Linked DNA regions of Struthio camelus. The protein of the gene in region 1 purifies or fractionates together with the protein of each later gene. This does not show direct contact. Links are inferred from orthologs where the notes say so. Each region holds a gene or a part of one and is shown on either strand. Other genes may lie near its edges.

What was found. The genes of interacting proteins can lie anywhere in the genome.
Region 2: the proteins of HIF1A (region 1) and LAMP2 purify together in Homo sapiens (affinity purification with western blotting; 3 studies listed by BioGRID). This does not show direct contact. The link is inferred for Struthio camelus from reciprocal best matches to the Homo sapiens genes HIF1A and LAMP2.

Annotation. Positions count from the first base shown.
Region 1 is NC_090946.1:76,628,038-76,635,580, reverse strand, and holds the start of HIF1A (hypoxia-inducible factor 1-alpha), read left to right. Parts: upstream 1-4,497; 5' UTR 4,498-4,725; coding exon 4,726-4,760; intron 4,761-5,056; exon of another isoform or gene 5,057-5,356; intron 5,357-6,449; exon of another isoform or gene 6,450-6,799; intron 6,800-7,543.
Region 2 is NC_090952.1:11,884,203-11,891,354, reverse strand, and holds the start of LAMP2 (lysosome-associated membrane glycoprotein 2), read right to left. Parts: upstream 3,048-7,152; 5' UTR 2,935-3,047; coding exon 2,853-2,934; intron 1-2,852. UniProt on the Homo sapiens protein: Lysosomal membrane glycoprotein which plays an important role in lysosome biogenesis, lysosomal pH regulation and autophagy.

The sequences.
Region 1 (7,543 bases):
GAAGTCCTTCCTGGGTAGGAAATCCTTCCCTCAAATCTAATTATGCTGAATTGGACTTAGTGCTTTTACTATACTGCAGAATGTGTTACCTCCACTGGGGCACTTTTCTGTGCAGAAATCAAGGTGACTAGAGTCTTTCCAAATGCCTAAATGCACTCTGACAAGCAAGCTTTAAAAGGTGCTCATCGTTTAAAAACATTATTTTGATTTTGCAAAGGGGAGAAGAAGAAGAAACAAGATCCTGGCCTAAGAAGCAGAGGAGAAGCTCTACAAATCAGAAGAGACCAGTGGAAATCACAGTTGCCAAAGAGAGATATTGTCTCTCATCACATACTCTTGTTTCAGACAAAATTTCACATTTGAGAAACAGCGGCATTCACTTTTCACTGTTTTGGTGACCACTGGTTTGGTTCAAACCAAGCATTTTAGTTGGAATTCAATCAATAATGATGGATACAACAATAAACCACCTTTCTATTGTGAAATGAGTTGATGATCAGAGATCTCAGGTTCTTGCATTGTTACAAATAAGAAGCCACATTAGATTATTGGCAGTCCGTAAAGGAGCCAAGGGTCTGCACAGCCATAGAGACTTGAGGGCACTTTTTTTTTCAAGTAAATGATTCTACAGGGGTGCTGTACGTATGGCATGTTTTGTGGTCAAATATCATTAGATTGGTTTGTGCGCTTCCCTTCCCCTTTAGAACTGTGCTTATTTACTGAATCAATAAATATTAATTTCCTAATCTTAATGGGTTGTACTGCCAAGTAAAAGCCCAGGGAAGCCAGTGCTGCAGGGGGTTGTTGCAGAGGCGTCCCAGGAGTCACCAAACCAAGTGACTTAAATGGAAGGAGTCCTTACTTCTTGCTAAAATCCTCCACCTGGTAAGTCCAAGCTCAGAAACTTGAAGTGCTCTTAGCAGAGAAGATGCTTGAGAAAAATGCAGGCCCTGGTCTTATTCCCACTGAAGTTAGCAGAAGTTTTGCCACTGAATTTTGATGGGGATGGGATTGGGTCCTGAGACAGCTAATGTGTACCGTGCCCGTCCTGGCAGTGTTTCACCTATCAGCAGACAGATCTGAAGCCATGGGCAGTAGCGTATCTCGCATCTTCATGTGGATCTGTGCTGCTGCTGGATTCCTTCTGCTGTCTTCGCTGAGCCTTTTGCTGACTCATCGTCTTGCTGGCTGTGAATTTGTCCCAATTAGTCATATGCAAACACTATTTAATACAGGAAGTTGTCTTAACGTAAGTTAGAGTATGAACTTAGTACACCAATAAAGGTCAAACAAAGTGACTAAGGCATTACCTACTGTAATAAGTTTCTCTTGTCAGGCACTGGCAAGACGGGAAAGAAAATATATGCAGAATATTAGAGGAGTGACTCAAAAGTTCAGTAAGGGGAGGGTGAAGGGAAGGGAACTTTTGCTTAATATCTCTCCAGAGCTGCTACAGTACAAAATGTTTAATCGTGGAATGAATTTCCAGTAACATCATCCTGAAACACTACTGGTTTTTGATGCAGAATTCTTTATTACGGGTTGGAGTAACCATGTTCGGTATGAGAGAAATGTGCCTAGTAAGGAGACCACAATGCTTACTCACAGCTCCTCAGCCAGTTCATGCTGGGAAGCTCGAAAGCCTTGAACAATTAACTTGAGCAGTGTTAGTAATTTGTATACTGAGATTTTTCTGTAGCGTCTTTTACTCTGGGATTGCTAACACTTCCAGAGCCTTCGTGCCTGTATTAATTAAAATGATCACAACCTAGCATGAGACTATTCAATGAGGAACTGTTTCAGTGTATTGCGCAGTATGTAAATTTAGATAATGGCAATAAAGGTGTACAAGTGAATCCTAAGATGTCACTATTTATGGGCACCAAAATTAATTGTTAATAAAATGAGTGGTTGGAGGATTGAAAATAAGAGCCCATTGGGTAGGACGAGCTGAGGTCTGTAGCTTTACCGCTAGGCTGTCCTGGCCTGGGATCACATCGGTGCTCGCACTTAGCTCCCTTTAGAAGATGAAGGGATAAGAGGTTAGTGGAAGGACTGCAGTGGAAGTGCAACGGAGGCTTTCGCTCCTGTGTGCGGACCCCTTCCTCCTCATGCGCGGGTTAGAGACGCTGCAAAGGCTGCTCAGCATGACCTGCCGGCCCCCTCTGCGGTGCAGCAAGCACCTCTATTAGCAGCACTTCGCTGCCGAAACTCCCCCGCTGCGTCCCTGGGGCAGGGGCTCTGCAGGGGGGTCGGGGGAGGCACCGAGCTGGGAGTGAGATTTCGGCACCTGCCAGGAGATCCGCCGTTTCACCAGGAGAATTCCTTAGGGGCCGTCACGGTGGCTTTGCGACCGTGCTAAAACAGCGCGAGGTTGCTGCGCGCGAGCGACTGCGTCCCTGCGCTTGAACCGGCTGTACCTCATTTTCAAATACGATGTGTCCACGAGCGCTTGTGCGGGGCTTCTTGGTGTTTATGCAGGAGACCTGAGTTTGAGTCTTGCTCTGATTATTTCTCTTCTTGAGGCTCCACTGAGCAGAACAACAAAAATATCAGCAGTCTACAGCCACACTGCCACGGGCTATCGTGTTGTCACTTCTCATAAGCTAAGCAAAGCTGGCCTTTGTCTGTATTTGCATGCGAAACCTTAAAGGGATAAAGGGAGTCTGTAGCACATGTGTCTCTTCTGTGTATCAGATTGCGGCAGGCAGGAGCAATTCATTTCACATAGAAACTCTCTGTGATTTCTATTAAATGTCACGGTCATTGCCTTTTCTTCAAAAGAAATTACAAAAAACCCCCACGGTTGTATGCAAAAATGACTGTTTGTTATGTGAAAGTTCAGACCCCACTGCAGAAATGTTAGCGAGATACAGTCCTGAAACGACATCGTTTTGCCCTGCAGGTGTTTCTTACAACATTATAAATGCATACAGCAGTGCAGGGTTGTTACCTGTGCCTGTCAAAGCTTATTTTTAAAGGGTATCATTACCTTTGCGCTATGAACTGAACAGCGTCGTATGGTTCACCTCTTTAGGATCACTTAACTTCTTGTTGGAGGAAGCCTACCAGACATGAAGTAATCTCCAAGCTCTAGAGTCCCTTCACTTTGAACTGCACCTTCACCTACTCCACAGAACCGGAAAAGTAGATGACTAAGGCACCATAGCTAATGTTGCTGGGGAGCCTCTAATTTTAAATGCGTGGACTCTGGCCGTGACTTTCCTCCCTCCGCGCCGGCCCAGCTGCGGCTCGCCGGTGCGCTGCCTCGGTCTGTCCTGGAGGTTACTTGCGAGTGTCTCTATCGCCGTGTTTATGTAAGGCTCCTCCATGAAGCTTTTCCTACGTTAATCTCTCTGACAGCAAAGCTGTGGCATTGTATTCCGGCCGGGGCTTCTGTGTTTGTCTCACTTTGATTGTAAGTAAGTGCCTTGTAAAAAAAACAAAACAAAAAAAAAACAAAAAACCCCCCTAAACCCTGCATCCTTTTTGGTGCCTGTTGAAGTAGCGTGCGCTTTCTCAGCTTCGGATAGAGGCATATAGGTGCTCCGCACGGCCTGTTCAGCCTCCCAGCCGGGAAGGCCGCTTGGCTTTTTTCTTCTTCTTCTCTTTTTTTTTTTTTAAGTTGTATCTGTCCCTCTGGCCCACCCCACGATGTGCTTATTCTCTTTAATTGATCTGCGTCTTTCAACGCATTCGCTTGATACGGCCTGGTCGCGTTGCTAGCAAACCTTCGGGAAACGGGAAGGAGTTAGGAACTGGACAGGTTTCTCGCTACAAAGAGGTGGATAGGGCAATAAACGTGCGACCGTGCCAGTACAACGGCAGGGACCGCAGCGTGATTTGGGGCGGTTTTGTGCGTGCGTGCGCTATAGGGCGGATTAGCGAGTCCCACCAGTGACTGCTGGTCGCGGCGCGTAGGAAACGCGGCGGAGGAGACGCAGGCCCGCCGTGCACGCCGCGCGGGGAGCTGGCGGCTGGCCCGAGCGGGCCGGTGCGGGGCACAGCGGGGGCAGCCCCGGTTTGGGGGCTCCCTGGGCGGGGGGGAAGGTCGGTAGGTAGGGCACGGCCAGAACCGCGTTGGAAACGCCAAAACACACCCCCGCGGCGACGGCGCCGGGGTGGGAGCGGGGGGGAGGAGGGGGAAGGATACGACACAACAGGCAGACTTCCCTCGTGAGGTTAAAACGAGCGGGGCCAGCGGCAGCCGGCGAGGGCGGCGCGGGGAAGAGCCCGCCTGCGCCCGGGGCCGCGGCGAGGCGGGGAGCTCGGAGGGGAGGCCGGGGCGACATGATGGAGGCCGGCGCGGCCCGCCCCGCCCCGCACACAGCCCTCCACGTGAAGCGCCGGCCCCCGCCCAGCTGTTTGCTCAGCTGACCCCGCCGGCCCAGGGGGGCCGGGCTCCGCCGCGGCTCCTCACTGGCGCAGCGCTGGGTCCGGGCCGGCCGAGCCCGCCCCCAGCCCCCGCCGCCGCCGTCTCCGTTTCGGCGAGCCCCGCGCCGCCCGCCTCCCACAGCCGCCGCCGCTGCGCCCCGCGCCGGCCGCACCTCGCCGCAGGCCCCGGAGCCTGCCCCGATGCTTTGAGCCCGCGCCGCCCCAGACCCGGCCCCTTCCCGGCCGCGCCGCCATCTCCGCGCCCCTCGGCGGCCATTGGAGCCGCCCGCCTCGCGTTGTGAGAGCGAGCGAGCGAGCGAGCGAGCGGGAGGAGAAGCCAAGGCGGCCGCCATGGAGAGCCCCGGCGGCGTCAGCGACAAGAAAAGGTAACCGGCCGCCGCCGCCTGCCCGCCCGGCGGCCAGCCCGGCCCGCGGCCCCGCGGCCCGGCTCTGCCCGTCCCCCTCTCGCCATCCTTCGCGCGGAGCCGCCTCCCCTCGCCGCTCTCCATCCTCCCCTTTCTTCTGCCCCCCGGGCACCCCCCCTCCTCCCCGCGCTGTTATCGCTCCCGCCGTCCCCCGTTTCCCCTCTTCTTCCCCCTTTTCTCTCTCTCCCCCCTCCCCCGGCCGCCCCGCGTTCCCCCTCTCCCCGTTCTTCAGCCCGTCTCCGCGGAGAGCGCCTCACTCTTTCATTCCTCCTTCTCCTCGCTGTCCACGTCGCCATTTTGTCGGCGGGGGGAGCGGCGCGGGCGGCGGGCGCCGGCCCCGGGGACGGGGGGGGGGGGTCTGGCCGCCCGAGGTTCGCCCTGGGGGCGCCTGCTGGGCCCCGGCGAGGCGCGCGGCTTTGTGCCTCCGGCTGCTCGTTGTTCGGCCGCTGCGCCGAACCCGGCGGCAGTTACGCTCGGCGCATTGTGTGCGGCTCCTCGTTCCGCTGCCGGGCCGAAGCGGGCGGGCGGGCTGGCGGCTCTCACCGACTGCAACGAAATCCCGGCCCGGCCCGGCCCGGCGCGGTCCGGCCGGCGGCTCTGCTGCGGGTCCGGGCCTTCGGGCCGGCCTGGAGGTGAAGGGGGCACGCCCGAGTCCTTGGATGTGCTAAGGACCCTCGGTGGCCCCCGCAATAAACGCATCCCGATTAGTTCTTCGGTGTTCTGGTTTGTCTTGTTTTCTGTAGGATGGTGAATTAAATGTGCTTGCATAAGTAATTATAAGAGGGCCTTAAAAAAAAAAAAGGGGGGGGGGGTGTTGGTTAAGGCCAGAGTGGCAAAAGGAAGATTTATCAATTTGGTTCAAATGCTGTGGAAAGTCTGAACGTGTTTTAATGGTCATTTGCTGACAACGACTATGGGTTTCTGTACTTGTTCCTAAAAATAAGTTGTTAGGCATTTTTTATTTTTATTTTTTAAGATGGCCACTGAAACTTTGATTTTTATTTTATGTTCTGGTTTTGTTCAGAAAGGGAAGGTTTTTTTAGAGCCTTGGAAGCTTAAGCTTTAAAAAAAAAAGGGAGTGGGGGGGCAGAAAGAGGGCTGCTGAACAATGTAAGTTGAGAAGTATGAATAATTCACCAAGGATTGTTAGCTCAAATTAGAAAGAGGGGGAAATAAAAGCCTTAAAAGCTTTTGTTGCATTGCAAAGTTACAGAGTTGGAGTATTTAGGTGATCAGATTTTTAGACTGGATGTTCCACCAATGTGCTTTGTGGAGGGATTAATTGGTGTAATCGCCATCTGCAGCAGACAGTGTTTGTTTATGTTGATATTGATACCATTTTTTGAGATTGGTTATCTCTGCTCTTGTATCAAAGGGTCATCTGAGTAGGTTAAATTAGTAAAGTATATAAATTGTGTTGGATGTGAGACTGAGTAACTGACTTCTAAAATGGATGTTTAGCTTTGTGCCGAGCTAGAACTGTGAATTCAGAGTGTTGGGCTTGTGAATACAGAGTGCTTTACCTCTAGGACTGTATCGTTGTAATGATTATTTCAAGTTATTACAGTGGGGTAGAGGGTGGAGAAGAAGCAGCTTTTAGTCTAATGAAATATATACTGTGGGGCACCTGGGGTGGTACCAATTCAGTAGCCTTTGTTTTTTCAACTGAAAGGTAATAACTTCTGAGAAGCCTTGGAGAAAATGTTGCAACAGAAATGAATGTTCTATCCTTTTCTCTGCTGGCCTATTTTAGTGGCAGGTCTAGAAAGGGGTTTTGAGACTTAGCTTTTTCTCTGTTCCTGTTTTTTTTTTTTTGTCCTTGAGCATTTTTTTTTTTTTTACTTACCGTTCTGTCCCACTTGGGTACTTTTTTGCAATTTCCTTATCCTGGATGTAATCTGCTTTCTTTAGAACGTAAGAATCAGTATGCATAGCTTATCCCTTCCTTCCTAAAGGCAGAGCTCAAGAAAGAGAATTTGGTGTTTTCTGCATCCTGAAGGGTGAGTTAAAGGTTGGGAATGTTTCTTATAAAGTAGTAAGGAATATTCTGACTACTTCTGTTGTAGAGTGTATTTTAATTGAAAATACCATATTGTATCTGTGGTACACTCATCCTGAGGCTGTGAATGTGCAGTAGAGCAAAGATGGCTAAGCAAAAAAGGAAGAATAAGAAAGAGCTCATCAGAGAACTTACTGCAAATCTCAAGCATTGCTCAAGAGCCTGACTTGGTTTAGAAGGGTTTAGGTTTGACTGTGTCCATGTTAAGAATATTTTTAGAGAAAGTACCTTTAGAAAGTTCCAGTCCTGTTTTTTGATGATAAAATTTTGGCTGACTGTAGATGTGGCGCACCTTAACTTTCAGCATGTGTTAAGATCATTTAATTCCTTTTCCCCTATCTGCGTGTATATTTGGGTAATATTCAGCTATTGATAGTTAGAGAGGTAAAGTGAAGTTTTTTTGCTTGCTAATTATGTGCTGTGGGATCCAGAAACTATGGAAATTTGACCAAATCTGTCTCTTATGACTTAATTTCACTTATTAATTATATAACAGCAACTGAAAGTGTGGACTGGTGTACTGCTTTGTTGAAACCATTCTTTTATGTAGTCCCAAGTTACGTAGATCTAACTTGATTTCTTATGGAATCTTAAGCACTCTGTATTTTTTGCAATCTGATTAGGTATTGGCGTTTTGGGGGGTATTATCCATTCTGCTTTGGTAGTTGCATCATTTTCATGTGCT
Region 2 (7,152 bases), on another chromosome or scaffold:
ACCTCATACTTAAACTAGAGAAGTGACTGAAGAAAAGGAGAATACAATCCAGTAAAGCAAAAGATTGTTCTGAATGTTATTTACACCCTCCATAGGGCATGCTGCTTCTCAAGGTTTTGAATTATTTACTCACCTCCATCATCTAATCACTGAATAAAATTCTGACTCTGGGCAGAGAGAAATTCTGCTCACTTCATCCCTTCAGGCTGACAGTGAACAAGTGGAAAAGACAGTGATAAGAATTACTAAACGCTCCAGGACTCATGAGATTTCTGAATAGTAGGAAAAAAAGAATACAGGAGCATATATCAAGAACAGCTATGTAGCTGAAGACCCCTGTTTACATTAATTTCTAGGCAGCAGAAGATTCTGTTAAAACTTCCACAGTGGCTGTAACGCCCCGTAAGGCAATACCTACAAAGGGAAATCCCTCAGCTAGCAGAATTAGAGACAAAAGTAGTACATCTACCCACAAAGTAAGGCAGTAAACACTAAAGATTGCTTGCACATTCACAAACCACCGGTTTGTTATGCCTTTTTAGGAGAATTTTTGTTTGTACAGAGTTCTATGGTGCACTAGAAGATACCAGCTTTGCAATTTACTACTGCAAAGCACACAAACTTACTGCCAAGAAGTAGCTTAGAGCTCCAGCAACATTAAATAAAAGCTCATTTTTTAGTTAAAGAGTTATTTATTACTGCACCTGTGTACCAGTTCTGTATTACCATCCATTCTCATTTCAGAAGAAACTGGGCCAGGCCTTAAGTTTCTGGAAACCACTGCAACCTAGCCAGCATAGCCATGGTACTTCAATATAAACACACCATGTCACACGGCATGTTAAAAGACTATTGACTGAGCCAAAAGATAAGTATATTTAGAAGTAATTATTTTACCACAATTTGAAAAGCAGTATAAAACTAGCAGGAGCAACTTTACTAACTTGTTTTGTAATACTGCAATTTCTTGGCTTCTCAATGCTGTTTTACATATTAGGAAAGTCCCTTCCACCCTCATTAAAAAAAAAGATATGAAAAAAGACATAAATTGAGCTCTGAAACTATTTTTGCTATTAATTAGTAGGTGAGAGCAAAAGGAAGAAAGCTTATTTACTATGAGTAACTGAAAACATCCTAAGAAGAAGTATCAAGTTAACTACTACTCAGACTGTTTTCCTTACAGAGAAAGTAGCTTGCAATAACTTCTCCAAAAGGGATACTTCAGCACAGGTGGTGGTAGATGGCAGCAGTAAAGACTGAAGAAATGCTACAGTTAGCAAGCGCATACAGTAGACTTGACCAACACAGATAATCCCAACAGACATACAGCACCTTACACGCCCTGACCTGCTTAACAGTGAGTAACTGTAATTTTTGCCAGTACAGCTTTATTCCAGCTGCCAAAAGATGCACCTTCCCTATAAGAGATCTGATCTACTTTTAAGTAACTAGTTAGAAGATGTCCTCAAAAGCCACAGACACAAACGTGACAAGCATCTAACACAGTTGGCAGGAAGTGCTAGCATAGCAGAGGACTACGTTCAGTTAACTGCTAAATTTGTAATATAGAATTTGCAGGACAGGGGCATTCTCTTCATGAAACCTGAAGATCAGACAGCCTCCTTGCATGCTTTGCTCACGTAACAGTGCTGCAGACAGTAAAACATGATTAATAAAATTAGGGATTGCATTTATCAGAAGCAGATTAGCCTGGCTTTTTGCAACCTCTAGTCAGTCTACCTCTTTATAGAAGGAGCGTCTTTGGATATAAAGGTACACAAGGTTTGTGTGTGTGGTTTTTTTTTTGTTAAAAAAAAAAAAACCCACTACTTTCTCACCCTTACTATACCAAAGGCATCTACAAATGCAAAAGGAGTGCTATGGTATAATACTGCTACTTAATGCAACAGCAAACAGTGGCAAAAGTTGGCATTTAAGTATAAGGCTTTATAATGGAACAAAGAGAGTATTAACAAAAATACAGAGTGAACTGAGGGGCAGACAAGTCCATTCTCAAAGCCATGACCTGAAAGGACAACGTTACTCTGCAAAGTGCTCGTCACGCTTTGAGAACGCTTTATAAGGGAGAACCCCCTGAATTCATCCCAAACCTCACTTAAATACATAAACATATATAACTCATCTCTTCAGAGATAAAAACGCGTTACTAGCACTTGCTTGACTCCTACTTGAGTTTTCTTTTTTAAGGGGAACAAGAGTTATTCCAACACGCTCTATATCGCGTGAGAGTATGACCGTTGGTCTCCCCAGCTCCAAACGCGCCTCGGTTGCCGCTGGGAGCCGACCGGGAGGGCTCAGGAAGGCGGCAGCGGCCTGCGGGCTGACAGCGGCAGCGCCGAGCGCAGGGAGCCGGTCGGCGGCCTCGCCTGCGCCCTCGCCCGCCAAGGCCGCCGGGGCCCGGGCGCTCGCCGCCGGCTGCTCACCCACAGCGAGCAGCGGGGCCTTCGCTGCGCCGCAGAGAAGCGCCAGCCCCGACTCTCCCTCTGCGGGTGACGGCGCAGCCGGCAGAGCAGCCCCGGGCGGCGGCGGCGGCCGGAGGGGGGGGGGGGAGGGGGCGAACGTCGCCGCCGCCGGGGAGGGGCCGCGGGCAGCCCCAGGCGCCCCCGCGCGCTCGGCCGTTGCCCGAGGCCGCGTCACGTGCCCGACGCGGGGGGTGGGGGGGGAGGAGGGGGCACGCGCCAGCCGCCGCGGGGACAACAACCGCCCCCCGCCCGCGCGCGCGCGCGGCCCAACGGCCCTGGCGCGCGGGCCCGTCGCCCCCTCAGCTCAGCTCAGCTCAGCCGCGCCCGCCCGCAGGCCCCGCGCCCGCAGGCCTCGGCGCGCCCCCTCACCGGCGGTGCCGAGCAGCAGCAGGAGGCAGGCGGAGCAGCGCGGCAGGCGGAGCGGCCCCCGCGGCGACCAGCGCGGCTCCATGCTCCCGGCGGCGGCAGGCGGAGGGGTTGCGTGAGGCGGCGAGGGGAGAGCGGCGGGGAGGGGGGGATGCCTAGAAGCGGGCGGGCGCGGCAAAAGCGTCGCCGTCGGTCATGTGAGGGGATGGGCGGGGCTGTTTGCGCTCCGCCAATCGCCGCGCCCGCCCGGCTCGATTCCATGGCTCTCGGGCGAGGCGCGCGCCGCGCCTCCTCGGGCGGGCGGCGGGGGGGGGGGGGGGTTTGGGTCCGGGTGTTGCCTCAGGGGCTGGGGGCCATTTTCCTGCCACACGCCGGGTGGCAGCGCGGTGCCCGGCCGATCCCCCTGTAAGACCCTATTTCCACTTCGTATAGCTCTACTCTTTAATTTGTGTCAGCTTGGACTCGGGTTTTCCTTGAAAAAGGCCTGCTCTTGGCTAAATCTCCTTTTTTTCTTTTTTCTCCTTTTCTCTCTCTTTTTTTTCCCTGCTCTTCTTCTATTTCTCCATCCCTTCTCTCCTTCTCATCATATTTGAACCTTTTCCATGAGTAAGGCTGAGGGAAAACAAGTTTTGCATCCAATAAACAAAAATCTGCTGACCTTTCTTTCCTTGGGTGAACTCTAGCATTTCCATGTTGTGCAACAGGGACTTGGCAAGGAGGGGCCCTCTGAGCCAGAGACGCGGTGTTTCCTGTTCCTCTGACCGTCCGCTGCAGACTTCACAGTGCTGAAGATTTCTGGTGTGAACATGCTCAGAAGGGGCTTTGAAGATTTCAGTGGCCGAGCTCCTCTCAGATTTCGTCATCTTTCACCATTGTTGAACAAGAGAGAATCCAGCAAGAGTTAGGGGCACAGAAATACGTTATAAGAGGAAAGCTTGAAAGACTTTTTAAACACAGAAATGCCATCTCTGGCTCAGAACGCCCCTGACCGGCCTATTGTTCAAAGCTGGCATTGTGTAACAAAGAAGTAGCGCTATATATTTACTCTCTTCTTATAGTCTTCCCTGCATGTCCACTATTGGCTACTGCAGAAACAGGTTATGAGGCATTTACTTTGACCTCATACAGCCGTTCTGAAGTTAACTGGGCTCTTTTTAGGTTAAGAAGAAAAAGCTGAGAGAAGATACACTAAGAAAAAATTATACTTTTAATATAGAGACTTCCACTGGAAAAAAAATAAAGGAATAAACTATTTTCCATGTTTACAATAAATAGGATGGGAGAGAAATGGGCTAAAATGACAACAAATATTTACGTTAGATAGTGGGGAAGGACTAGTAGAGCTTTGCACTAGATTCGCATGCCAGATTGTGTTTTTTTAAAAAACAGGTTAGACAAACTTCCTTCAGGAAATTATTCTGTTGTAGGGCAGAGGTGGACTTAGATAGTCTCCCAATGTCCCTGCCCGCTCTAATCTCTGTGATTCTGTTATCCATCATTTCACATTACCCAGGGCTAATCAGAGATTATACCACACCTTTGCAGAAGTAGGCCCATTCTCTGCCCCTTCCTAGCTCTTCTTGTGTGTGAGCAGAATTCACATGTACCGTGCCTACTAAATGACTGGCTAGAAATCTTTCCAGTAATTGCTTCTGTTAAGGAGGGTGGAGTTTGGCATTAGCAGCAAGAACTGGGAGGCTTTGCTGCATTTGCACTAATGCCTAAGTGCAAGACAGAAAGAAGAAGGCAGGAGAAAGAAGCTGCCAGATGCAAGTGCAGGAGAAAACACACGATAGGGTAGATGGGAAGGGGAAGAAGACAAGAGTGGACATGAAACCTGGTGAATCTGAGACTGGATGGAGATATAAAATCAGCTGGAAGTTGAATTGAAGGTTGGAGGGTATTGATCAGAAACAGACACAAAGGTTGTCTTGGCACAGAAACCATGGTTAAGAGATGGGAAAGAAGAGACTGACACTGGGAGACAGCGAGGAGAACGGCAGGAGGATTCTCAGCTGCCTGAGGAAACAGGAGCTCTAGATTCAGTAAGGGCAGGCCCTACTGGAATAAGATATGTGTGTTTCTCTAGGAAAACCGCAAATGGTATTTGACTAACCAGGATCTAAGAGATATACCCAGTGATGCAGGAAGAGAATGAAAGCTCTTGAAGAGGACAATGAAACACTTCAACCTGGTATCGTGAGACAGAGTCTTAAGATAAGGCATAAAGGTGGTGTAGACAAGAGGACGAGCATAAAGTCTTGAGGAAGTTGAAATAATGCAATGTATGAGTATATGGTAATTAAATAGTCTAAGTTATGTACTTGTAATGCTGTACTTTTCCAAAGAATATCACAAAACAAAATCTGGCAAGGCTAGAACACCACTGAAACCAGTGAATTTTACAAACGGGGCTTCCACCCACAAGTGCTTGTGTGTTTTTTTTTTTTTTAATTCAGCCTTTGGGCTTAATTTACTGAAAACTTATCTGAGGAAATAAAATTTATGTTTAATACTTGAGCCATTGTTTGTTGTAGGCCGTGGGGGAGCTTCGAGTGTAGATGGAATGGCATAGATAATGGCATAGATGAAAGCACTAATCCTGAAAGTAGCAAGTCTTTGGGCTTTCAGCTCTAGGGCAAAAAATGGGGCAGTTGAAAGGCTAGGGAGAGTCCCATCTCCCATGCTTTTACATATCCTCATGCTTTGTTGTTTTAGTGAAATGGAACATGGTCACAATAGATCTTGTTCTTAAAGAGTGATCGTTCAGGCAGGAACTCCATTGAAAGGTTTTAAATATTAGGATAGCGACACTGAATTAGGCTTTAACTAACGGGAGCAGGAGAAAATGGGTGATATGTTCTAGGCAGTTGGTGTGCAGCAATGTCGTGTTTTGTGTCAGCTGGAACGTTTACTTCAGGACATGAGCTTTATTTATAAACACTAGTGTCTTGAATATCCCTTACTTCTGATAATATTCTGATCTCTTGCCGGTACCTTAGAAATGGACTGTAACATGACTAGACAATCTGCAGAAGTGAAAGGAAGAGTGATTCCTTGTTTCCATTGTGCCAGCTTAGTGAAGTGTGAAATGAAATCAAATGGTAGATACAGTAACAAGCAAATCTGTTCCTAATAAATTACACAGAGTCAGATTAGCGACTGGTGTAGGACTAAAAGGCTAGTATAGTGCATATAATCTAGCATGATGTAAAATATATTATTTTGCACCAGAAATATCGTTGATATCACAACTGTTAAAGACTGTCCCTAGCTACAATGTGGGCAGTGATGAGGCAGCCATGAAAGGAATCTCTATACGTTTCTGCCCTTCCGAGAGGAGTCCTTGGGAAGACTCCAAAGGGTGAAACTGTACCTGGAGTGAGTGGGTGCAAGCACTTTTCATTCACATGAGGGGTGGAGTTTGTCCAGCAAAACCCACATGCTTCAGCTATCTGAATGTGGTGATTATCCGTTAAAGATATGTTTGTGATTCTTAAAAACAATGCACTCCTGCATTAGCACAGTAATACTCTCCTCTTGCCTAGCCTGATAACAGAAGCTTGGTTTTGGCAGTATTCTCCCTACAAGGCCAATTTTTGGGCAGTTTCCAAAGCCTGTCTTCTCTTCGTAGTTCTCCAAGGAACAACATAAATCTGTGTTCCTCTCCCTTTTTCAACAAATCCTCCAGCTTTCCTTAGAAAGGATTGTACTGGCTGTGATCAGGTGTTATCTGATTCCTCTTAAATTCCATGAAAAGCAAATATACTCAGTACTTGTAGGATTCAATCTCTAACAAATATCCATAGCATCTTATTTATCATGAGTAAGTTCCTTGTTGACTATTGTGGTCTTAAAGATGACAGCATTTATGTGGGAGTGGGACTTCTGTAACAAAGAGCAAACTCTTAACGATCAGCTGCTTTCCTTGGATGACAAAAGTGCGAATGATTGCTAGTATGATGCAGAAAAAATGCCTTAGCCTTTTGCCTACTGGGGGGATAGGATTTTTTATTTGGCATAATTGTGGGAGCCACTGATAGATGGTAAAGCTGGTCCTGTTTTTCTAAGACGCTCCTTGCAGTTACTGCTGGATTTGAAAATGAGGACTGTAATGTCACTGTATCACATTACATTTTTACTGCCTGGTATACTTAGCTTGATGTCAGGAGTTTCAACAACATGTACTGAGGACAGATATGCGATACCTATGTGATTTCTTTTGTAAGCTTCAGTTCAGCGAGGAATATAAATTCATGCCTAATTTCAGATGTATAGGTTGTTCTATGGCTTTCATTCGCAC